Stegostoma tigrinum: one gene and its partner. The protein of the gene in region 2 purifies or fractionates together with the protein of the main gene of each other region. This does not show direct contact. Links are inferred from orthologs where the notes say so. Each region holds a gene or a part of one and is shown on either strand. Other genes may lie near its edges. The genes, in order: ccnh and ercc3.

What was found.
Region 1: the proteins of ercc3 (region 2) and ccnh purify together in Homo sapiens (affinity purification with mass spectrometry; 9 studies listed by BioGRID and IntAct, counting the BioPlex papers as one, with this or other methods). This does not show direct contact. The link is inferred for Stegostoma tigrinum from reciprocal best matches to the Homo sapiens genes ERCC3 and CCNH.

What each region holds. Positions count from the first base shown.
Region 1 is NC_081356.1:95,562,003-95,574,687, forward strand, and holds the start of ccnh (cyclin-H), read left to right. Parts: upstream 1-6,250; 5' UTR 6,251-6,300; intron 6,301-6,433; exon of another isoform or gene 6,434-6,580; intron 6,581-12,254; 5' UTR 12,255-12,280; coding exon 12,281-12,397; intron 12,398-12,685. UniProt on the Homo sapiens protein: Regulates CDK7, the catalytic subunit of the CDK-activating kinase (CAK) enzymatic complex. CAK activates the cyclin-associated kinases CDK1, CDK2, CDK4 and CDK6 by threonine phosphorylation.
Region 2 is NC_081360.1:103,814,787-103,827,247, reverse strand, and holds the start of ercc3 (general transcription and DNA repair factor IIH helicase subunit XPB), read left to right. Parts: upstream 1-7,442; 5' UTR 7,443-7,543; coding exon 7,544-7,562; intron 7,563-11,754; coding exon 11,755-11,963; intron 11,964-12,461. UniProt on the Homo sapiens protein: ATP-dependent 3'-5' DNA helicase/translocase. Binds dsDNA rather than ssDNA, unzipping it in a translocase rather than classical helicase activity. Component of the general transcription and DNA repair factor IIH (TFIIH) core complex.

The DNA of each region.
Region 1 (12,685 bases), on a different chromosome or scaffold from region 2:
TTCTTGGAGATCATCCGTGACATTAACTCCATCGTCTGCAGCAGGAGCAGGTTCTGCATGGTTTTCTGGAGTTTGGACAGTTTCCTCTACCTCTCTCTGACCTTATAGAACACAGAACAGAGAACATTACAGCACAGTACAGGCCCTTCGGCCTTCAATGTTGTGCCAACCTGTCATACCAATCTCAAGCCCATCTAACCTACACTATTCCATGTACGTCCATATGCTTGTCCAATGACAACTTAAATGTACTTAAAGTTGGAGAATCTACTACCGTTGCAGGCAAAGTATTCCATTCCCTTACTACTCTCTGAGTAAAGAAACTATCTCTGACATCTGTCCCATATCTTTCACCCCTCAATTTAAAGATATGTCCCCTCGTGCTCGCCATCACCATCCTAGGAAAAAGGCTCTCACTATCCACCCTATCTAACACTCTGATTATTCTATATGTCTCAATTAAGTCGGCTTTCAACATTCCTCTCTCTAATGAAAACAGCCTCAAGTCCCTTAGCCTTTCCTCATAAGACCTTCCCTCCATACCAGGCAACATCCTAGTAAATCTCCTCTGTACCCTTTCCAAAGTTTCCACATCCTTCTTATAATGCGGTGACCAGAACTGTACGCAATACTCCAAGCGCGGCCGCACCAGAGTTTTGTACAGCTGCAGCATAGCCTCATGGTTCCGGAACTCGATCCCTCTATTAATAAAAGCTAAAACACTGTATGCCTTCTTAACAGCCCGGTCAACCCGGGTGGCAACTTTCAAGGATCTGTGTACATGGACACCGAGATCTCTCTGCTCATCTACGCTACCAAGAATCTTACCATTAGCCCAGTACTTTGCATTCCGGTTACTCCTACCGAAGTGCATCACCTCACGCTTGTCCGCATTAAACTCCATTTGCCACCTCTCAGCCCAGCTCTGCAGCTTATCTATGTCTCTCTGTAACCTACAACATCCTTCTTCACTATCCACAATTCCATCGACCTTAGTGGTGTCTGCAAATTTACTAACCCATCCTTCTACGCCCTCATCCAGGTCATTGATAAAAATGACGAACAGCAGTGGACCCAACACCGACCCTTGCGGTAATCCACTAGTAACTGGTCTCCAGGATGAACATTTCCCATCAACCACCACCCTCTGTCTTCTTTCAGCAAGCCAATTTCTGATCCAAACTGCTATATCTCCTACAATCCCATTCCTCCGTATTTTGTACAATAGCCTACTGTGGGGAACCTTATCGAACGCCTTGCCGAAATCCATATACACCACATCAACAAGTTTACTCTCATCTACCTGTTTGGTCACCTTCTCAAAGAACTCTAAGGTTTGTGAGGCACGACCTTCACTTCACAAAACCGTGCTGATTATCCCAAATAAATTTATTCTTTTCTAGATGATTATAAATCCTATCCCTTATAACCTTTTCCAACACTTTACCAACAACTGAAGTAAGGGTCACTGGTCTATAATTACCAGGGTTGACTCTACTCCCCTTCTTGAGCAGAGGAACCACATTTGCTGTCCTCCAGTCGTCTGGCACTATTCCTGTAGACAATGACGAGTTAAAGATCAATGCCAAAGGCTCGGCAATCTCCTCCCTGGCTTCCCAGAGGATCCTAGGATAAATCCTATCTGGCCCAGGGGACTTATCTATCTTTACACTCTATAGGATTTCTAATACCTCTTCCTTGTGAACCTCAATTCCACCTAGTCTAGTAGCCTGTATCTCAGTATTCTCCTCGACAACATTGTCGTTTTCTAGAGTGAATACTGTTGAAAAATATTCATTTAGTGCTTCCCCTATCCCCTCTGACTCCACACACAGCTTCCCACTACTATCCTTGATTGGCCCTAATTTTACTTTCGTCATTCTTTTATTCCTTAAATACCTATAGAAAGCCTTAGGGTTTACCCTGATCCTATCAGCCAGCAACTTCTCATGTCTTCTCCTGGCTCTTCTGAGCTCTCTCTTTCGGTCTTTCCTGGCTAACTCGTAACCCTCAAGCGCCCTAACTGAGCCTTCACATCTCATCCTAACATAAGCTTCTTCTTCCTCTTGACCAGAGATTCCACTCCCTCCGTAAACCACGGCTCCCGTGCTCTACAGCTTCCTTCCTGCCTGACAGGTACATACTCATCTCGGACACACAGAGCTTTTCCTTGAATAAGCTCCACATTTCTAATGTGCCCATCCCCTGCAGTTTCCTTCCCCATCCTATGCTCCCTAAATCTTGCCTAATCTCATTGTAATTGCCTTTCCCCCAGCTATAACTCTTGCCCAGTGGTATACACCTATCCCTTTCCATCACTAAAGTAAACATAACAGAATTGTGATCGCTATCACCAAAGTGCTCACCTACTTCCAAATCTAACACCTGGCCGGGCTCATTACCCAGTACCAAAGCTAATGTGGCTTCGCCCCTTGTTGGCCTGTCTATATACTGTGTCAGGAAGCCCTCCTGCACACACTGGGCAAAAACTGACCCAAATATAGCACTCGAACTATAGTGTTCCCAGTCAATATTTGGAAAGTTGAAGTCCCCCATGACAACTACCCTGTCTCTCTCACTCCTATCGAGAATCATCTTTGCTATCCTTTCCTGTGCATATCTGGGACTATTCGGAGGCCTATAGAAAACTCCCAACAGGGTGATCTCTTCTTTTCTGTTTCCAACCTTGCCCGTGCTACCTCAGTTGACGAGTCCCCAAACATCTTTTCTGCAACTGTAATACCGTCCTTGACCAACAATGCCACACCTCCCCCTCTTTAACCGTCTTCTCTGCTCTTACTGAAACATCTAAATCCCGGAACCTGCAACAACCATTCCTGTCCCTGCTCTATCCATGTCTCCGAAATGGCCTTCAGAACACCTTTGAGGATAAAGAACGTCTTGATGTTCCCCTTGACTGTTTCCCCCCCCAGTCCAGTGTAGAGTTAGACAGGGGCTTCACGGTTCTCCAACCTGTAACCCCTTTTGAGCTCCTCAATATTTTCTGGAGTTAACAGTTTTCACATTCAGCTTCCACATTTTCTTGCCGGCCTGTGGGCATCCTATAGGTGGCAGTCAGCCAGCAGGAAGCAGTGGTCAGAGAAGAGTATTGGCTTGACATCAGTGGATCTGAATGAGAAGGTGTAAGATGCAAACACGAAATTGATCCTTGAATAGACAGATCCGTCTAGTGGCCACCAGGTATATCTATGTTACAATCCATCTGCAGGGGGGCTGAAGAAGTCTTTCAGTTTGGCAACTTTAACTGTTTCCATAAGGAATCTGGAAGACCATTACGTTTTGGGCAAACTAATTTTTTTTTCTTTCAAAAATATACTGTATTCATAAAAAAATTCTCTCATATGTATACGCTGTCACAAAAGCAATTTGGTTCTGTATAGCTGCACATCAGTAAATAAACAAACCTAACCAAAAAACCAAAGACCTTTCTTCCACATACAGTACTAATATTTACCTATATTTGAGGCACTAGGAGGGTCCAATAACTGGAAGGACACTCATTTACTTTTAGCTGGAAGACTTCAGCAGTGGTCCTTCCCCACTGTGCTTTGATGGCAGCTGCCCCAAACTTTAGTGTGTCCCTCAGCATGCAGTCCCAGACTTTGAAATGTGCCAGTCTGCAACACCGAGTTGAGGTTGGCTCCTTGTTCTGAATGACTAACAAGTCTTGAGCAAATCAAAGAGCGTCTTTCACTGAATTGATGGTACTCCAGCTCCAGCTAATGTTTGTCTCGGTGTGTGTCCTGGTGAACAGACCGTACAGGGCACAGTCCCGTGTCACGGAGCTGCTTAAGACAAACCTTGACACAAACCATGCATCTTCCTCCAGACTTCTTTGGCAGAGGCATATTCCAGAAGGAGATGTGTCACAGTCTCAACCTCAATACCCCTCACCAGCAGCCCCCCATCACCACCACCCTCCATCTTCAAACCTCCGAACCAGCCACTTCAAGAGCAGCGGGCAGTAGTGCAGACATAAAGGATCTCCCAGGTACTTCCCTTATCAGCAAAAGCCAAGCAACGTCTTGGTGCTTTTCCGAAGTTCGGGTGATGAGGCATTCTGCCAAATGACTTTGACAATTTTCTTAGGGAACCATGCAACAGGATCCACCCTCTTCTTTTCTCTCAGGGTACACTTCCTGATGGACTGCTAGTCAAAGGTGCTTTGCAAATTTCTCGATGAAGGAGAAGTGATAGGGGATGTGGCAGCAAGGCCAGTCCCATCCCTTGAAACACTGAGGGACAGGTAAAACCTCAGTATGCAGTGGCACTTGGTGTTGTGTACTAAGGGTCTATGCACAGCTTCATGTAGCCAAACACAAAGGTTTAATGTTCTTGTTAAGATTTGTAGCTTGGCTTGTGGATGAGGTTGTTGGCTTGCTCGCTTTGCTGGCTGGTTATTTAGCTTCATCCATCTAGTAGGCACCTGTGGATGAAATTATTGAGATATCCGTTGTTCATTAATTTGATCCTGGTGAAAATGTTTTTGATAAGATGGTGCGTTTCTTCTAACTTGGTTTAATGATGATGCATCATCCATGTATCAGATCCACAGTTCTGGCTGTATGAGGGGCAGGTTTGTGCACTCCAGTCTTTGCATGACTGCCCCTGCAATAAGTCCCGAGTCCTAGGGTCAAATTTACAAAAGAAGATGAAGACAACAATCAACTTCCATTCCAAGATGTCAGGGTAGAACGAATGACCAATGGGGAGTTCACAGTACACAGGAAGGCAACCCATATTGACCAAATCCTCAATTTCCACAGCAATCACCCAACGTCCACAAACAAAGCTGTGTTAGGACATTATTCCAATGAGCCGCAATACACTGCAACATGCCAGAACTACGTAGAAAGGAGGAAGAGCACCTATACAAGGTATCTGTTAATAACAGACATCCCAACAATTTCATCCGCAGGTGCCGTCTAGATAGGCAACACCAACAGGACACATCACACTATCCTATATCATGAACATATCAGAACTGACGAGACTCCTATGACCACTAGGAATCATGGCAGGACACAAATCCACAGCTACACTACAACAAACACCCACAAGGACCAAAGAACCCATACCCATGACGTGTAAGACCAACATAGTTTACAAAAATACCTTCCAATGACTGCAACAAACATTACAATAGCCAGACTGGAAGGAAACTAGCCATCAGGATACATGAACACCAGGTGGCAGAAAAACAACATGACAAACTTTCCCTCATCACAGTGCACTCAGACAATGTGGCCATCAATTTAACTGGAACAATGGGACCATCCTGGCTCAAGCCAACAACAGATATGCACTGGTTTTCAACCCATAATGCAATCAACAAACATGTGGAATTAGACCTCATGTACAAACCCATGCAAAAAAGAACAGGAAATGGCACAACACAACTCGACAGAGCAGATCATATAAATTCCAAGTGGAGTAGAACAGTTTTGCTTCATTGGATGCCGCACTGATGTTACCCAGCATGGTGATGAAAGGTCTGTATGATAAAACACAAAGGTGGCCATCAGGAGGGCAACAGTGGGAACGTTCTCTGCCACCACCATCCAGAGTTTTATACATGGAGTTCCTGCAGGCCCAGTCTATCTTAGGCTTCCAGATGAAATAGAAGATGACTCAGGTGATTGAAACATCAGTGACGGGAGGCAGGCCAGACCTGTGTCGTTTACAGCATCAGAGACAGAGTGCTTCACACCTGATAACCAGGTTTATCCCCGCAACGGACAAGGAACAGTGCTTCCAGAAGACCAATTTCTGCTTCACTTTGGCGATGCACTCCTCTCAGATTTTGTGCATGCCCTAGGCCCTCTGAGCCATATTCCCAGCACTTTCAGGTAATCTGTCGTGACGGTGACGGGAATGAAGGATCGGTTGGCCCAATTCCCAAAGAACATGGCCTCGCTGTTGCCCCGATTTTTACCTTGGCTCCCGAGCCCATTTCTACCAGGGCAAAGGGCGGGAACGCTGTGGTCAACCCCTTCAAAGGCTGCAAACCGTTCATGTTTTCCATAGTCACACAGCTCGGTAGCTATGACTGGAAAGTACATTACACCGTACTCTCCGACTTAACCTCTGCTCTTCCTTCCCCAACCCAAGCGGCTGACAGCTAGGTTCCCACGTTCCAAACCGTCGCAGGCTGACTGTTCTCACGCGAGATCACGGCCCTCAACCCGACTCGTTTCCCATTGGACCAACGCTTCGCGAAACGTCACTAGGAGGTGGGGTTAGTGCTGAACAGCGGAAACGAAAGCAGTCTCGAGCCAGGTGAGTCTGAACGTTAGAGGTTGTCTGTGTTGGTGCAGCGTGATCTCTACCCTGGGGTTTGAATGTGTGAGCAGCTCCGTTAGTCCCGTTGAAGCTCCCGACTCCTCCTGCTGTTGTAAGAGAGATAATGGGAAAGCGTGTGGGGGTGGTTCGGCTTGATTTACAGTCGGCACCTGACTTCTGCAGACCGATTCAAACTCTTCGTGCTTTTCTCATGCTTTGTGGTCTGCGCTTCCTGCAGTCCGTTCATATTTAATATTCCCTCATCCCCAGTTTAAAGGTGAGGTTTCAAGTCGCACTGCTGGTCTTGTACTCGTGAATCCAGTCTGGCCGTTATAATAGAGGGCCAGTTGAAAATGTTTTTTGGATAAGATCGTCAGTTGAGATTAAATCTGCCTTTTCTGATGGATGTAAAAGGTCCCTTATCACTTTCTTGGAACAAGACAGGAGACCGGATATTGGTGCATTGACTAGTCTTTGTGGTGTAGTTATCTTCGGAACCTAGTCACCGTCACCAAAATAAATTGGCCTCCATCACTGTTTGTGGAAGATTGCTGTATGAAAGTCTACTGATGTTTTTTTCTCTCAAGATTACAGCAATACTTTGAAAAAACAGAAATTGCTGATGAAAGCTCAGCAAATCTGGGAGTATCTGCGAGAAGAAAGCAAGAGTTAATGTTTGAGTCTAATGACAGCATGGTCAAACTGGTGTCTAATGAAAAGTCACTAGATTTGCAACATCAACTCTGCTTTTTTTCCACAAATGCTGCCAGACCTGCTGAGTTTTGTGACAATTTTCTATTTATGATTAAGATTTCTAGCATCCACAGTTCTTTGTTTTACTTCAGGAGCTCTTATTTGGCTGTGAAGTGCTGAGGGTCCATTAGACAAAGAGTTTCAGAAGGACAAACACAAGTTCCCACATTTTATTCATGAGTTTATTTAGACTTTAGTGGTGGGCCTGATAAAGTAGACATAAGTGATATGTTGATAACATTGTGGAGCTGGAAGAACACAGCAGGCCAGGCAGCATCTGAGGAGCAGTAAAGTTGACATTTTGGGTCTGGACCCTTCTTCAGAAATGGGGAGGGGGAAGGGAGCTCAGTAATAGAGGAGGGGTGGAGGTGGGGAATGTGGGTGGGATGGTGATTTTTTTTTTTGAGTGCAAGTAGGGAGTAGTGGGAATTGGTCAGCTAGGTGGGGGGGATGGCTAGGTGGGAGAGAAGATGGACAGGTTGGGTCAGGTCAAGGAGGTGGGGATGAGAGGGTGGCTTGGACATGGGATGAGGTTGGGGTTAGGGAGATTTTAAAACTAGTGAATTCCGTAGCGCTGTAGGCTCCCAAGGTGGAATATATGTTTTACTCCTCTAGTTTTCATGTAGTACCATTGTATCACAATGGAGGAGGCCCAGATGGACATCCCACCAAGGACCTTAACATCTGCTCTTCTCCCCCCCCCCCCCCCAAGTGATTGTAAATGCCCTCAACCACATCTCTTGCATTTCCTGCACCTCTGCCCTCACATTCCCTCCCCCCAGCAAAAATAAAGACACAATCCCCCTTGTCCTCTCATATCACCCCACCAATCTCTGCATCCAACATATTTTCTGCCACCTATAGCCCAACCCCACAACCAAAGAGATATTTCCCTCCAGAACAATATCTGCCTTTTGTAGGGATGGCTGTCTCCATGACTCACTCATCCGCTCTACAGTCTGTACTTACCCTACTAACCTGGAACCTTTGCCTAGAACTGCAGGAAGTGCTACACCTGCCCCTCCACCTTTCCCCCCCCCCCCCAACCCCCATGTAAGGCACCTGGCAAACCTTTCATATCAGACAGCGATCACTTGCACATCTGTCAACTTGGTCTACTGTATCCGCAGTTCCCAATGTGGCCTCCTCTGCATTGCTGAGACCAAGTGTAGACTTGGAGACTGTGTTTTGTAGAGAGCCTGCTCTCTGCATGGGACAAACAACAACATCTTCTAGTTGTCAACCATTTTAGCTTCCCCCTCCCACTCGCTGGGTGACACATCCATCCTGGGCCTCCTCCAGTGCCACAATGATACCACACAAACTGGAGGAGCAACACCTTATATTCCATCTTGGGAGCCTACAGCCCAGTGGCCTAAACATAGAATTCACCAGTTTTAAAATCTCCCCATCCCTGGCCTCATCCCTGCCACCTTGACCTGACACAACCTGTCCCTCTTCTCTCCCACCTATCCGCCCCACTGAACAATCCTGACGATTTCCTACCTGCACCCACCTATCGCCATCCCACCTACCTTTCCCAGGACTACCCCTTCTCTGTATTTATTTCTGAACACTCTTCCCCCTCCCCCTTTCTGAAGAAGGGTCCCGATCCAAAATGTCAACTTATCTGCACCTCTGATGCTACCTGGCTTGCTGTGTTCTTCCAGTTCCATACTGTGTTACCTCTGACTCCAGCATCTGCATTTCTTTCTATCTATAAATGATATGTTGTAACTTTTTATTTTAACTGCCTGTCAGATTGTAACCCCATGTAAAGTCTGACATTAAATGAATGAGCACTTCTCGTGATCGTCTTTTAAGATGCCCCTTAAAATTTATTTATTTGGTCAAGTCTGTGGCCATATGTCAGGACACTGCATCATCTAGCTTGGTCTCAAATTTTGTGATGCTCCTGTGAATTGCCTTAGGATGTTTTATTACATAAAATGTACCGTATAAATGCAATTTGTATTTATGGATGTGAGTTTGCTCGCTGAGTTGGAAGGTTAGTTTTCAGATGTTTCGTCACCATTCTAGGTAACATCATCAGTGAGCTTTCGATGAAGCGCTAGTGTTAGGTCCCGCTTTCTATTTATAAATAAATACAATAGAAAGCAGGACCTAACACCAGCGCTTCATCGGAGGCTCACTGATGATGTTACCTAGAATGGTGATGAAACGTCTGAAAACTAACCTTCCAGCTCAGCAAGCAAACTGACATCCAGAACCTCAACCTGAGCTACAAATCTTCTCAAAACTCGCTAATTTGTATTTATAGTTGTAAATAATGGATTTACTCTGGTAATTCTGCACTCTTAAATTGGTCTACAACTATTTGCCTGGACATTATTCCAGTGGGCAAAAATAGGTCATCTGGAAATTATTTTTGTACGTTAATTTTAAATTACTGCTTGATCTTTCAAAACTTTTTATAAAATGGGCATCAGCAAAGTTTTTGGAAGTGACTTTTTTGTTATATGGGATATTGTAGGCCAAATTTTTTCAAAGTAATTTTAAGATAAATATATCTTTATGCTGCTGTTTGAGATTAGTGCAATGAGACCTTCGTTATGTTCATCTGAAAGTAAATGTGTATGGTTATCTCATCCAACATTGTACCTCAGTTGTGCAGTATGCCCCAGTACTGTAGTAAAACAGCTGAGATTTGGAGGTGATCTTAGCACCATAAACCACAAGAAATAGGAACAAGAGTAGTCTGTTAGAATTCTCCAGCCTGCTCTGCCATTCAGTATGAATTTGGAAAAAAAAATTTATGAAGCGTCCCTCCCAGCTGTAAAATGATCGAAGTATAGAATAGTCAAGCAAGAAAACTGTGAAAAAGTTTGCATTTTAACATCATCAAGGAAACACCCAAATACTACCAGAAAAGTTTTAAAGATGTCTTTGCTGACTACAGGGCTGCTGTCTCATTAGAGAAAGATCACTGCTGGTGGTTTAACCTGAGGATCACCATGCCTCCAGTGAGGGGCAGGCCAAGAAGGAAAGTCTTCATGATAACCCCAGCCAGTATGGCATCACTCTGCATTGCAAAACAGCTAACTAAGCTAACCACCCCACCATTTCAACCCAAACCCGCTTTCAACCCCATTCAGGTACTGACTTCCAGACAACCTCTGTGTAAAAGTATTTCTCTTTAATTCCTTTCAAGTTTGCCAATTACTTTAAATCCCTGCCTTCTGGTTAACAATCAGTGTGTAAAGGAAATGTATCCTTCCTATCTACTCTTCCTAGATCCCTCACAATTGTATACATGGTATCAATGTTTCAAAGTTTTAAAAAAAAGCCCAGCCTAATCAATCTTTCTTTTAGCCTAGCATTTTCAGACTTGGCAGCATTTTTTAAAATTCATTCAGGGGATTGCAGCTTTATTGGTTGAGCCAACATTTATTGTCATTTCCTAATCATCCTTAAGAAGATGGTAGTGGGCTACTTTCTTGAAATGTTACAGCACCTGTACAGGAACAGCTGTGTATTTCCAAGTTAGGATGGTGAGTGCCTTGGAGGGGAACTTGTAGGTAGTGGTGTTTTCATTGTACCTGCTGCACTTGTCCTTTGAGATGGTAATCGTAGTGGGTTTGGAAGATGATATCTAAGGAGTCTTGGGGAATTTCTACATGGAAACTTGTAGGTGGTGTGTTAATGATGTGAATGTTAATTGAATTGGTGTTAATCAAATGGGCTGCTTTTTTATGGATAATACCAAACTTCTTGATTATTGCTGGAGGTAATATTATCCAGGTAAATGGGGAGTGTTCTATCATTCTGTTTTGAACTTTGTAGATGGAGGACTTTGAAGTCAAAAGTTGAGTCACTTGTTGCACAATCTGTAACCTTTGACCTGCTCTTGCAGCCTTGGTATGTATATACAGCTGGATCAATTTAGTTTATGGTCAACGGCAACTTCCACAATAGTGAAGATTCGGTGAGGTAATGCCACTAGATGTTAAGGGGTAATTATTAGACTGTGTTATTGAAGATGGTCATTACTTGATATTTGTGTGGCACAAATGTTACTTTCCATTTTCAACCCAAGCCTGGATGTGGCCCAGGTCTTCCTGTATTTTGACATAGACTGCTTCAGTATCTGAGGAGTTGCAAATGTTGCTGAACATGGTGCGGTCATCAGCAAATAACCCCACTTCTGACTTAATGGTGGAGGAAAGGTGACTGATAAAGCAACTAGAGACCGTTGGGCTTAGAACATAAGTTTGAGGAAATCCTGCATTGGATGTCCTGGAGCTGAGATGAGTGATATCCAACAATGACAACTGTCTTCATTTGTGCTAGGTATGACTCCAATCAGGAGAATTTCCTCTGATTCATTGACTCTCTTGTTCAGGCTATTTGATGCCACACTGTCACATGTGGTCTTCATGTCAATTCTCACGTTCCCTTCTTACATTCGGCTCTTTTGTTATGTTTGAGTCAAGCCTGTAATTACACGTGCATTTAGTGGCCTTGACAGAATCTAAATTGGGTGTCAGTAAACAGGTTATTGTTCAGCAAGTGCAGCTTGATAGCACTGTTGATGACCTCTGCCAAGATTTTACTCATGTTCGAGATTGGACTGATGGGGTGGTAATTGACTGGGTTGGATTTGTCCTGGTTTTTGTGTACAGTTTGATGGGCAGTTATCCAAATTGCTAGTAAATGCCAGTGTTCTAAGTATATTGGAACCGCTTGGCTATGGGAGTGCCAGGTTTTGAAACATAAGTCTTGGGTACTGTTGCTGGCATGTTGTCAGGGCTCATGACCTTTGCAGTATCTAGTACATTCACCCATTTGGTGATCTTACGGAGAGTCAGTTGAGTTGATTGAAGACTGGCATCTGCATTGCTTGACTTTCCGGGGAGTTAAGATGGATCATCTACTCAATACCTCTTACTGAAGATTGTTCCAAATGCCTGAGCCTTGTCTTTTGCTACTCCATTATTGAAGATGGAGATATTTGTAGAGCCACCTCCTCCTCAAATGAGTTTTTTTGGTCCACCACCACCACCACTACCATTCACCACAACATCCTTGTCAGTCTCATCTGTACACACTAGTGTGTTCTCATTGTTCTTGCATTATACAATTGTCTATCAGAGATGCAAGTGACATGCTGTAGACTGTGTGAAAACCATTACATTTTTCAACAACCCGACATTATTTTGTTTTATATTTGACAACAGGAGTGAATGCTAAATGATGTTCAAAGATGTTTAACAACAGTACACAGAAGAAATGTTGGCTTTTTCAGAATGAAGAAATATTAGAAAATATGAGAACTGAAGCCAATAAGAAATATCAGACAAAGATTCTGGCATGTGGAAAGGTAAAATATATTTTTGAGATATTTTCAGAAATAATCGTTTGTAGATTTGAGTTATCATGACATCAGGCAATGCAGAAATGTGCAAAAGAGCTCAGACACCACCTTCCAAAGCACAACCATTGCATGACAAGGGCTGCAGGTACATGTGGACGCCACTAGCTGCACTTGGAAATATGTTGCCGTTCTTTCACAGTTACTGGGTCAAATTCCTGGAATTCCCTCCCTGCCAGCATTGTGGATCTACCTAAAGCCCCATGGACTGCAGCAGTCCCAGAAGGCGACTCACCA
Region 2 (12,461 bases):
AATGGCAACTTTCTTTGTGGCTGAGAGTAAGAGGTTAGAACCCAGCCCCAGTTGGAGGCACAATGTGAATCTGGCACAAGGAGAGAGTGAGAGAACATATCCAATCTGGAGATCATTAATCAATGCAACAGAACAATTTATAAATACATAAATGTGAGTGAATGTGTTTTGAAATTACTGAGTGATCTCCACATGCAAAGATTAATGGCTGTTAAGCATAAACGCCTCCGTTAAATTAGCGGAGAGAGGAATTTGAGACTCGTTTAGAATGAGGTCCTTGCTTACAGTAATCTCATCGATTTTTAATATTTAGCGTTGAAACAGGTTTTGCGTCATGAACTTGGAACTAGAAATTATGCTCTTCCAAATCCTTTTCCATTGACAATACGGTAGGATAGATGAGATGGACCAGATACAGGGTGGTATTGAATGCACTGTATGATCAGCTGTCAAATGCTACTCTGTTTAAACTCCATATACATTGTACGGCCAGACTTTTCTGCTGGCTCAAGATTATGACTGTATTACTTTTCTTAATTGTACAGGTGTATAAACTGTTTTATTTGTAATGATTCCCAATGTATTTACTTTCACTGCTTTTATTGGTTCTTTGTACCTATTGTAAAAGAAAGCCATGTTTATATTTGGTTTGTTACCAATAATCTTGTTTCTATGAAATCTGTATATTGGTGGTACGCATTCTCGTTGCAATCTGATTCTGCATGAGTTCAGTGGGACTAGTACACAGGAGATTGCCTTTCATGTTAGTCCGTGCTGTTGGTCAAAGTGTGCAGGCTACTGCTCCAAACTGGAACCCTGACAGGGTCAAGGAGAGTCCACGGTATTTAGCACTTTGCAGAGCATTAATAAAACTATTTATTTCACATTTCTGTGCCTTTGATCTCAGTTAAGTCATTTATACCTGAGCTTTTATCTGTTGATGGCACCAACCTCCCATTCTGGTTGACAGCAAAAGGGTACAGCAGGAGGCCTCAGCATTGTGAGCCTTCAACTTGATCTCTACCTGAACCTCATCGATCCACCTTTGTTCCCTCAGCCTTAATACCCGTGTCTGACTGAAAATACAGTTGTGAAGTTTGCTGATGAAACAAAGACAAATAAGGATGTGAAAAGAATGTGAGCAAATTACAAAGGGATATCAAGATGTTAAGTGAGTGAGCAAAATGTGACAAGCAGAGTATAATGTGGGACAATGTTAAATTGGCCATTTTGGCAGACAGAACAAAAAGCATGCTATCTAAATAGTGAGAGATTGTAGAGGAATCTAGGAATCGGAGTATATAAATTGCCAAAAGTGAGAAGTCAGAAGACTGCAGGCAACTATGCAGGTACTAGTAATTAGGTAATAAAATGTTGGTTTGGTGAGAGAGGAATCAAATACCAAAATAGGGAAGTTATGCTTCTGTTGTTTTTGGCACTGGTGAGACTACATTGAGAAAGCCATGTGTGGTATTGGCCTGAGATAATGGGAACTGCAGATGCTGAAGAATCCGAGATAACAAAGCGTGAAGCTGGATGAACACAGCAGGTCATCTCAGGAGATGCTGCTTGGCCTGCTGTGTTCATCCAGCTTCACACTTTGTTATGTGGTATTGGCCTCCTCATTTAAGAAAAGATCTAAGTGCACTGGAAGCAATTAAAGAAAAGGTTTATCAGACTAATACTTAGAATGGTTGGTTGTCTTGTGAGGACAGTCCTGGGCAGGCTAGTCCTGTATTTACCAGTGTTTAGAAGAGTAAGAAGTGACTTGAGTGAAACACAAGATTCTGATGTGTTTTAACAGAAGTGATGTGGAAACGATGCTGGGGAGAAATCAGAGCTGGGGGTCACAAAAATAAGGGTTTGCCCATTTAAAACCGAGATGAAGCAAATTTATTTCTCTAAGGGAAATTTTGAATTCTCTTCCTTAAAAGGTGATGGAAGCAGAATCTTTGTAAGACGAAGGTGGATATATTATTAATAAGTGGATAGTTGGGAATGTAGAATAACCAGATGGGTCATGATGCTATTAAATAGGGAGCAGGATCAGTTGGCCACATCCTGCTACTAATTAATATATTTGTATTTACCCTCAAGCAGATCCCTCCTTAATGAAAACCGAATATTGGAATTCCATGTAAATTTCAAGAATCGTGCCTGCAGTACCCACTTTCACTTTCTGAAGTGTAGATTCGTTGCCTGTCTGTTGGGCTTTTGGAATCCCTGTCAAGTTTGCTACAGCAACTTTGCCAAACTAAAATAAAAAAATGTGTCCAGGCTGCAACACACAACGAATGTTCTTCTCAAATTGTGTTTCCTGTTTGCTTGGCCATTTAACACAATACTGGAACCTTGGGCTAGATAGGATAGAACAGAATAGTCTTTATTGTCATGCATTCCAGTACAGGGGTACAGTGAAAAGTTTCTACAACGGCTGCTTTTAAAGGCACAATCTTAGGTATCAGTACCTAGCTATAAATCTTATTGTGTAAAAATAAAGTGTTGTTACAGAGTAAAGAAAAGAATATAGATTAGTTTGAAACAGTGAAAAATTCCAGAGTGATAAGTTCCAGTCCGCTCCTGCAGGTCCCAGAGCACTAGGCTACGCTGCTTCCGCGGGCCGCTCTCAGTCAAGGGCTCACTCTACCACAACTCCTGGGAATCACCTGTTCGCTCTGCGGGATTCGGCATAAGACATTGGAGTGGAAGTAAGGCCATTCGGCTCATCGAGTCATGTGCTTGTTCCGTTACGGGGCACGGCCTGCTCGCTCTGGTCTGCTGCGGGACATGGCTTACTCGCTCCACTCCTCGACTCCACTCTTTCTGCTTAATGCCCAAAACTCATTTTAGAACATAGAAAAGTACAGCACATTACAGGCCCTTCGGCCCACGATGTTGTGCCGTGGAATAATCCTAATCCAAAAATAAAATAACCTAACCTAAATTCTCAATTCACTGCTGTCCATGTGCATGTCCAGCAGTCGCTTAAATGTCACTAATGACTCCGCTTCCACGACTACCACTGGTAAACTATTCCATGCGCTCACAACTCTCTGGGTGAAGAACCTCCCTCTGACATCTCCTCTATACCTTCCTCCTAACACCTTAAAACTACGACCCCTCGTGGCAGTCGATCGTGCCCTGGGGAAATGTAGTTTCTGTTTCCTCAACTTTCTGCTTAAATATAGTCGTTGGGCAATATTTTTAAGAACACGTACGTTTATAAATTTGCTTTAAAGAGCATTTCCTAATCCATTTGGGTACAGTTTCATTACTACTGCTGAACTTGGGCTTGTCAATTCATAATCTTGGATTTTAAATGACCAATGTAACAAAGTACAGTTCTATTTGTTAGTCACATTGATTAACTTCTTAGTAAATGAAAATTATATTCAAAAGCCTTTAATATCTACCTACTTATGTCCTTGTGCTCAAATCTGGAAGAATGTTCTGCTGCCCCAGGCTGCCTGGGTTTGGTCTCCTGGAATCCTGTGATGAGCCTCAAGGGGAAGAACTGCCCTTTTCATGACCATCCCATCTACTAACACCTCCAGGTTTGTGCAGGTGAAGCAGGGAGTAAACTTTAGTTTGAAACGTGGGAATAACAACAGTTCAGCATGGTAAGTGGGGAGCAATAATAACGCTAGGCCAATTAGTCCAAGAAAGGCAATGGCCTAGTGATATTATCGCTAGACTAATAACCTGGAGTAAGATAACAAAGTGTGAAGCTGGATGAACACAGCAGGCCAAGCAGCATCTCAGGAGCACAAAAGCTGACGTTCGGCCCTAGAGAGCACCAGGTACTGTTCTGGGTACTCACATTCAAATTGCGCCATGGAGGATGGAATAAAAAATAGTCTAATGATAATCAGGAAACCATTGCCAGTTGTCAGGAAAAACCCATCAGGTTCACCAATGTCCTAATACACTAGCTGAGGTTAATCAATGTCTTAGGCAAGTGCAGTATAACCATGAATAAAAGCACTGGACAACAGATAACATAGAACATAGAACATAGAACAGTACAGCACAGAACAGGCCCTTCAGCCCACAATGTTGTGCCGACCATTGATCCTCATGGATGCACCCTCAAATTTCTGTGACCATATGCATGTCCAGCAGTCTCTTAAATGACCCCAATGACCTTGCTTCCACAACTGCTGCTGGCAACGCATTCCATGCTCTCACAACTCTCTGCGTAAAGAACCTGCCTCTTACATCCCCTCTATACTTTCCACCAACCAGCTTAAAACTATGACCCCTCGTGCTAGCCATTTCTGCCCTGGGAAATAGTCTCTGGCTATCGACTCTATCTATGCCTCTCATTATCTTGTATACCTCAATTAGGTCCCCTCTCCTCCTCCTTTTCTCCAATGAAAAGAGACCGAGCTCAGTCAACCTCTCTTCATAAGATAAGCCCTCCAGTCCAGGCAGCATCCTGGTAAACCTCCTCTGAACCCTCTCCAAAGCATCCACATCTTTCCTATAATAGGGCGCCCAGAACTGGATGCAGTATTCCAAGTGCGGTCTAACCAAAGTTTTATAGAGCTGCAACAAGATCTCACGACTCTTAAACTCAATCCCCCTGTTAATGAAAGCCAAAACACCATATGCTTTCTTAACAACCCTGTCCACTTGGGTGGCCATTTTAAGGGATCTATGTATCTGCACACCAAGATCCCTCTGTTCCTCCACGCTGCCAAGAATCCTATCCTTAATCCTGTACTCAGCTTTCAAATTCGACCTTCCAAAATGCATCACCTCGCATTTATCCAGGTTGAACTCCATCTGCCACCTCTCAGCCCATCTCTGCATCCTGTCAATGTCCCGCTGCAGCCTACAACAGCCCTCTACACTGTCAACGACACCTCCGACCTTTGTGTCGTCTGCAAACTTGCTGACCCATCCTTCAATTCCCTCGTCCAAGTCATTAATAAAAATTACAAACAGTAGAGGCCCAAGGACAGAGCCCTGTGGAACCCCACTCACCACTGACTTCCAGGCAGAATATTTTCCTTCTACTACCACTCGCTGTCTTCTGTTGGCCAGCCAATTCTGTATCCAAGCAGCTAAGTTCCCCTGTATCCCATTCCTCCTGACCTTCTGAATGAGCCTTCCATGGGGAACCTTATCAAATGCCTTACTGAAGTCCATATACACCACATCCACAGCTTGACCCTCATCAACCTTACTAGTCACATCCTCAAAAAACTCGATAAGGTTTGTAAGGCATGACCTACCCCTCACAAAGCCGTGTTGACTGTATTTGATCAAGCCATGCTCTTCCAGATGGTCATAAATCTTATCCCTCAGAATCCTTTCTAACACCTTGCAGACGACAGACGTGAGACTTACCGGTCTATAATTGCCGGGGATTTCCCTATTTCCTTTCTTGAAGAGAGGAATTACATTTGCCTCTCTCCAGTCCTCAGGTACGACTCCAGTGGAGAGCGAGGATGCAAAGATCTTCGCAAGTGGCGAAGCAATTGCATTTCTCGCTTCCCAAAGCAGCCGAGGACAAATCTGATCCGGGCCTGGCGACTTGTCAATCTTAATGTTTGACAAAATTTTCAGTACATCAGCTTCCTCTATCTCTATCCATTCCAGCATGCACACCTGCTCTTCAAAGGTTTCATTCACTACACAGGTCGTTTCTTTCGTAAAGACAGAAGCAAAAAACTCATTTAGGGCTTCCCCTACCTCCTCAGGCTCCACACACAAGTTCCCTATGCTATCCCTGATCGGCCCTACTCTTTCTTTGACCATTCTCTTATTCCTCACGTAAGTGTAAAATGCCTTTGTGTTTTCCCGGATTCCTTCTGCCAAGCCTTTCTCGTGCCCCCTCCTGGCTCTCCTCAGACCATTTTTGAGCTCCTTCCTTGCCTGCATGTAATCCTCTCTAGCTGAACTTGACCCTAGCTTCCTCCACCTTATGTAAGCTACCTTCTTCCTTTTCACTAGAAGCTCCACCGCTCTCGTCATCCAAGGTTCCTTTATCTTACCCCGTCTTGCCTGTCTCAGAGGGACATATTTACTCATCACTCCCAACAACTGTTCCTTAAACCATCTCCACATGTCTATAGTTCCCTTACCATGGAACAACTGCTCCCAGTCCATGCTTCCTAACTCGTGTCTAATCGCATCATAGTTTCCTCTTCCCCAATTAAATATCCTCCCATTCTGCCTAATCCTCTCCTTCTCCATAGCTATGTAGAATGAGAGTGTGTTATGGTCACTATCACCAAAATGCTCTCCCACCACAAGATCTGATACCTGCCCCGGCTCGTTTCCGAGCACCAAGTCTAGAATGGCCTCTCCCCTCGTCGGCCTGTCAACGTACTGAGTTAGGAAACCCTCCTGAACACACCTTACAAAAACAGCTCCATTCAAATCTTCTGCTCGAAGGAGGTTCCAATCAATATTAGGAAAGTTAAAGTCACCCATTACAACAACCCTACTGCGTCCTCACTTTTCCAAAATCTGTCGACCTATGCTTTCTACAATCTCCCTGCTGCTATTGGGGGGCCTGTAGTAAACCCCTAACGAGGTGACTACTCCCTTGCTGTTCCTAATTTCCACCCATACTGACTCAGTAGGCAGATCTTCCTCGACAATGGAAGCTTCTGACTGATGTTGGAGAAATTCAGAAGTTTTAAAAATAAAACATTTTCCAACAGTTTCCAATTAAGAAGTCATACCAGATGTGAAACAATAACTGTTTCTCTCTTCGCATGTCCTGCCAGCCCTACTGAGTTACTCCAGCATTTTGTGCTTTTTCTACATTATCTCCTTGCTGAAATGAAGGATTTATGAAGGGTCAAATAGATGTTATGACATCCTAAAAAAGATGCAAGACTTTTATTTGTAATAGTTGAGTTGGTATGTGATATCAGCTTCACATAGAAGCCAATCAGCAACATTACCTGTACTGTACCTGCCTATCCAGTGCGTGCAGTTGTATGTTCTATTAGTGCCTTATTTCACATTTACAATTCTGATGTGTTAAAAAAGACTTTTGGTTCTACAATATCTTTTCATGACCACACCTCTACCCAACGCACTTTACAGCCAGAGGGCAGCCACGATGGTAATAGAGCAGACCTGATTGTCAATGTGCCACTTGGTAGGTTGCTGCAAAACGTCAATATGGGAATGATGAGGCTGTCCGTTTTTTTGTGCGAACTGTCGAGCAAGTATTGCCCATGACTACCAGGATTCTGTCTCCCTGCTAAGATAACAAGGTGTGGAGCTGGAATGAAGACAGCAGGCCGAGCAGGAAAGCTGATGCTTCGGGCCAAGACCCTGCTGTGTTCCTCCAGCTCTACACCTTGTTATCTCAGATTCTCCAGGATCTGCAGTTCCTTCTCTCTCTGCACCACAGATCACTTGGTATCACTGAGCTGGAGGAATCATGTGACTGATGGTTGGGTGGAGAGGATTTTCGCTTTGCGCACGCGCGCCGGTACCGGCACACCAGCGCCGGGTCCAAACATGCGCACTGGGCTCGGCCGTATCTGCGCATGCTTCTAGACACCGGGGAACGATGGGCAAGAAGGAGAGAGGTAAGGCCCGCGGTTACACAACACCCCCCCCACCCATCCCCATCCCCGCCCCCCCCATCCAGACCCACCCCATCCCCATCCCCGCCCCCCCCATCCAGACCCACCCCATCCCCATCCCCGCCCCCCCCATCCAGACCCACCCCATCCCCCCCATCCAGACCCACCCCATCCCCATCCCCGCCCCCCCCATCCAGACCCACCCCATCCCCATCCCCGCCCCCCCCATCCAGACCCACCCCATCCCCATCCCCGCCCCCCCCATCCAGACCCACCCCATCCCCATCCCCGCCCCCCCCCCCACCCATCCCCATCCCCCCCCACCCATCCCCATCCCCACCCCCCCACCGCACACCCCCCCCCACCCCCCCACCGCACACCCCCCCCCACCCCCCCACCGCACACCCCCCACCGCACACCCCCCCCACCGCACACCCCCCCCACCGCACACCCCCCCCACCGCACACCCCCCCACCCCTCCACCGCACACCCCCCCACCCCTCCACCGCACACCCCCTCCACCCCCCCACCGCACGCGCACCCCCCCCACACAACACCCTGTTGTGCTAGCTGATATTTATCCCTCAGCCAACATTGCAAAAACAGATTGTCTAGCTGTTGTACTTTTGCTGTTTATAGGTTATGTTTCCTTCATTGCAACAGTAACGTCATTTCAAAAAGTCCTTAATTGACTGTAGAGTATTCTGACATTTCAATGGTTGTGATAAATGCCGTATAAGTGCGCATCTATCTTTGTTTTATGTGTGTGAACAGTACCAGATTTGATATTGATATCCTCTGTTCTCTTTTACTGAACCAGTCGAGTTCCAGATTGTTGTGAGGCTGGTTGTGTTTGGTAATTGGCAGTTTCTACGCGGTATCCTGTGCACGATCCAAAGATGTGCAGGTTAGGTGGATTGGCCATGCTAAATTGCCCGTAGTGTTCGGGGTGTGAGGGTTATAGGGGGATGGGTCTGGGTGGGATGCTTCGAGGTGCGGTGTAGACTTGTTGGGCCGAAGGGCCTGTTTCCACGCTGTAGGGAATCTAATCTAATCCTTCACAGCTGTCCCATCAAAATAGGTTAACTTTAACTGAAGGACTGTTTCATGACCACAGGATGCCCTAATATCCAGTTGTGATGGCGTCACTAGTACAGTGTCAGGGAATACTGTATTATCTCACTCACAGCAAGTTTGCTCAAGCTGCGGAGAGAAATTCTGGATCACCTGGAGTATTGTGTTCAGTTCTGGGTGCCTTATTTAAGGAAGGATGTTACAACCCAATAGAGAATTAAATGAAGTTTACTAGAATGATACCAGCAATGTGGGATTTTAGCTAGAATGAGAAATTAGGCTTATTCTTCTTGGAGTAGAGAAGATTTAAGAGGTGACTGTATGGAGGGGTTCAAAATTATGAACAGTTTTGTCAAGTTGAAAAAGTATATGGTTGATTCTTAAATGCCTGCTGGCTAATTGGGGAATGGCAATTTATGCTGGCCTGGCTAAGAACACCCTCATTCTGTGATTAATAAAACATATTTTGTTTCAACTTATTGGTACGCCAGTAACCAGGGGGTCACAATTTCAAACTTGTCAACCAGAAAGTTGGGAGTTAGATGATGAGAAACTTCTTTACTCAGTTGTTTAGGATTTGGAATACACTGCTTGGGAGAGGCAGATTCCTTAGGAGGTTTCAAACAGTCTTCTGTACTGTAAAATCATGGGGTGTGGGCATTACTGGCTGGCCAGCAGTTAATTGCCCATCAGTAGTTGCCCCTTGAGATGCAAATGTGAGGTTTTGCACTTTGGAAAAAAGAATACAGGCATGGACTATTTTCTAAACGGTGAGAAAATTCGTAAAGCAGAAGTACAAAGGGATCTGGGAGTGTTGGTCCAAGATTCTCTAAAAGTTAACTTGCAGGTAGAGTCCATGATTAAGAAAACGAATGTAATGTGATGTTATGTTGTTGTTTATCTCAAGAGGGTTGGAATATAAAAGCAGTGATGTGCATCTGCGACTTTATAAAGCTCTAGTTCGGCCCCATTTAGAATACTGTGTCCAATTTTGGGCCCCACACGTCAGGAAGGACATACTGGCCCTGGAGCGTGTCCAGCGGAGATTCGCACGGATGATCCCTGGAATGGTACGTTTAACGTACGATGAACGGCTAAGGATCCTGGGATTGTATTCATTAGAGTTTAGAAGGTTGAGGCGAGTTCTAATAGAAACTTACAAGATAATGTATGGCTTAGACAGGGTAGATGCTGGGAAGTTGTTTCCATTAGGCGGGGAGACTAGGACCCGTGGGCACAGCCTTAAAATTAGAGGGGGTAAATTTAAAACTGAAATGAGGAGACATTGCTTCAGCCAGAGAGTGGTGGGCTTGTGAAATTCATTGCCATGGAGTGCAGTAGAAGCCGAGACGTTAGATGCCTTCAAGGCAGAGATCGACAAATTCTTGATCTCAGAAGGAATCAAGGGCTACGGGCAGAGTGCAGGGAAGTGGAGTTGAAATGCCCATCAGCCATGATTTAAATGGCGGAGTGGACTTGATGGGCCGAATCACCTTACTTCCACTCCTATGTCTTATGGTCTTATGGAGAGGTGCCCCAGATGGTGAGTTGCCCTCTTGAACAACTGGGGCAGCACGGTGGCTCGGTGGTTAGCACTGCAGCCTCACAACACCGGGGACTCTGGTTCAATTCCAGCCTCTGGTGACTGTCTGTGTGGAGTTTGCACATTCTCCCCGTGCCTGCGTGGGTTTCCTCCGGGTGCTCCGGTTTTTCCCACAGTCCAAAGATATGCAGGTTAGGTGGATTGGCCATGCTAAATTGCCCGTAGCGTTTAGAGGGATGGGTCTGGGTGGGATGCTTCAGGGGACTTTGTGGACTTGTTGGGCTGAAGGGCCTGTTTCCACACTGTAGGGAATCTAAACAAAAACCTGCATTCCATGTGCTGTAGTTAGACCCACAATGCCATTAGGGACGGAGTTCCAGGATTCTGACCCAGGAACAGCAATATGTTTCCAAGTCAGGGTGGTGAATGGCTCGGAGGGGAACTTCGAGGGGGTGGTGTTCCCATGTATCTGCCGTCCTTGTCCTTCTAGATGGAAGTGGTGGTGTGTTTGGAAGGTGCTGTCTGAGGATCTTTGGTGAATTTCTGCAGTGCATCTTGTAGATGGTACACACTGCTGCGACTGAGCGTCGGTGGTGGAGGGAGTGGATGCTTGTGGATGTGGTGCCAATCAAGCAGGCAGTTTTCTTTCTTACTGAAGTCATTTTATAAGCAATTTGAGAGTCTGTTGACAAAATTGGCACTTGGTGCCTGCTTCCACTTTTGGAAACAGCTTCTGTATTGGGTTATCAAACTGAAATCTTCACTGTTCTGTTTGCTGTCTGGATGTTGGCCGTTGCTGGCTGATTGCCTTGTCCTGCCCCTAGTTTAGCCTCTGGAGGTGAATCGGTGAATCGATCATGTGCCTGAGCTGCTTTGTGGTGGTTTGCTTAAACTGCGTGATGGCCTCCAACATTTCTGGGCCAAGTCAGTGTCAGTCAGCTGTGGTGGTGGTGGGAAGAGAATTGCAGTTGGACATAAATTGGAATGGGTAGTATTACAAGTTTCTTTCCAGTAAACCTGATGCGTTTCTGCAAAATCGACATTTTAAGTTGTCAGACTCATCTGGGGGAATTTGAATTTATAGTCTTTGAGTTAATCATTCTGATTACTTGCTCTGTAACTTATTGTGACACTTGCATATGGGCACCCTGATCTCTCTGTTTCACAGTGTTCTCTCGTCTCTCCTCATTCAATTAATAATCTGTTTTTCTGTTATTCCTGCTAAAGCAGACAACCTCAACTTCCTCGACAAAAACAAAGTTGCTGCAAAAGCTCAGGAGGTCTGGCAGCATCTGTGAGGAAAAAATCAGTGTTAACACTTCGGGTCTGGTGACCCTTCCCCTAACCCTAACCCTGACCTGCTGAGCTTTTGCAGCAACTTTGTTTTTGTTCTTGATTTACAGCACCCGCAGCTGTTTTGGTTTTTAACCTCAGTTTCCTACCTTACATCCCAACTGAAATGTTTTTCCACATCACTGTCTCTTGACTGACCTTTTTGTAAATGCCTTTCAACTTACTTTCCTACCTTTACTCATTTTCCTTTAAAAACACTTTAATCACCTTTAAATTTTCCATCAGACAAGAAAAAATTCAAGAAGCGTCGTTATGATAATGAGGAAGAGGATGAGGATGAGCTTTCCATGGATACCGAATCTCAGGAGGCTGTCCCTTCTGCGGCTGGGAAACAGGTGGAGCAGACTGTGGTTAAGGAAGATGAGTATGGGGCCAAGGATTACAGGACACTGATGACCCTAAAAGAGGATCACACCTCCAGACCACTTTGGGTGGTAAGTCAGCCACAGTGGTTTGTATCAGGATTGACTAACTGACAGGACGCAGTGTTGCGTTGAAAGCGTCATTTTTGAATTGACAAACTACAGCTAGTGGAATAGAACATAGAATAGTATACTATATGAACTGAGATAATGGGAACTGCAGATGCTGGAGAATCCGAGATAACAAAATGTGAGGCTGGATCAACACAGCAGGCCAAGCAGCATCTTAGAAACACAAAAGCTGATGTTTCGGACCTAGACCCTTCATCAGAAAAGTATATGAACAGGCTGTTTTGCCCACCATGTCTGCCCTGAACATCACGTCATTATAAATGAATTCTGTCTGCCTGCTTGTGGTCCATATCCCTCTGTTCACGTGTCTAACTAAATGCCTGTTAAACATTGCTATCAAATCCGCATCTATCACCTTCCCTGGAATGTAGCATCGGTCAATCTGGGATCCAACCACTTTGTGTCTTTAATAATGATTGGCACGCCAGCCTATTATCC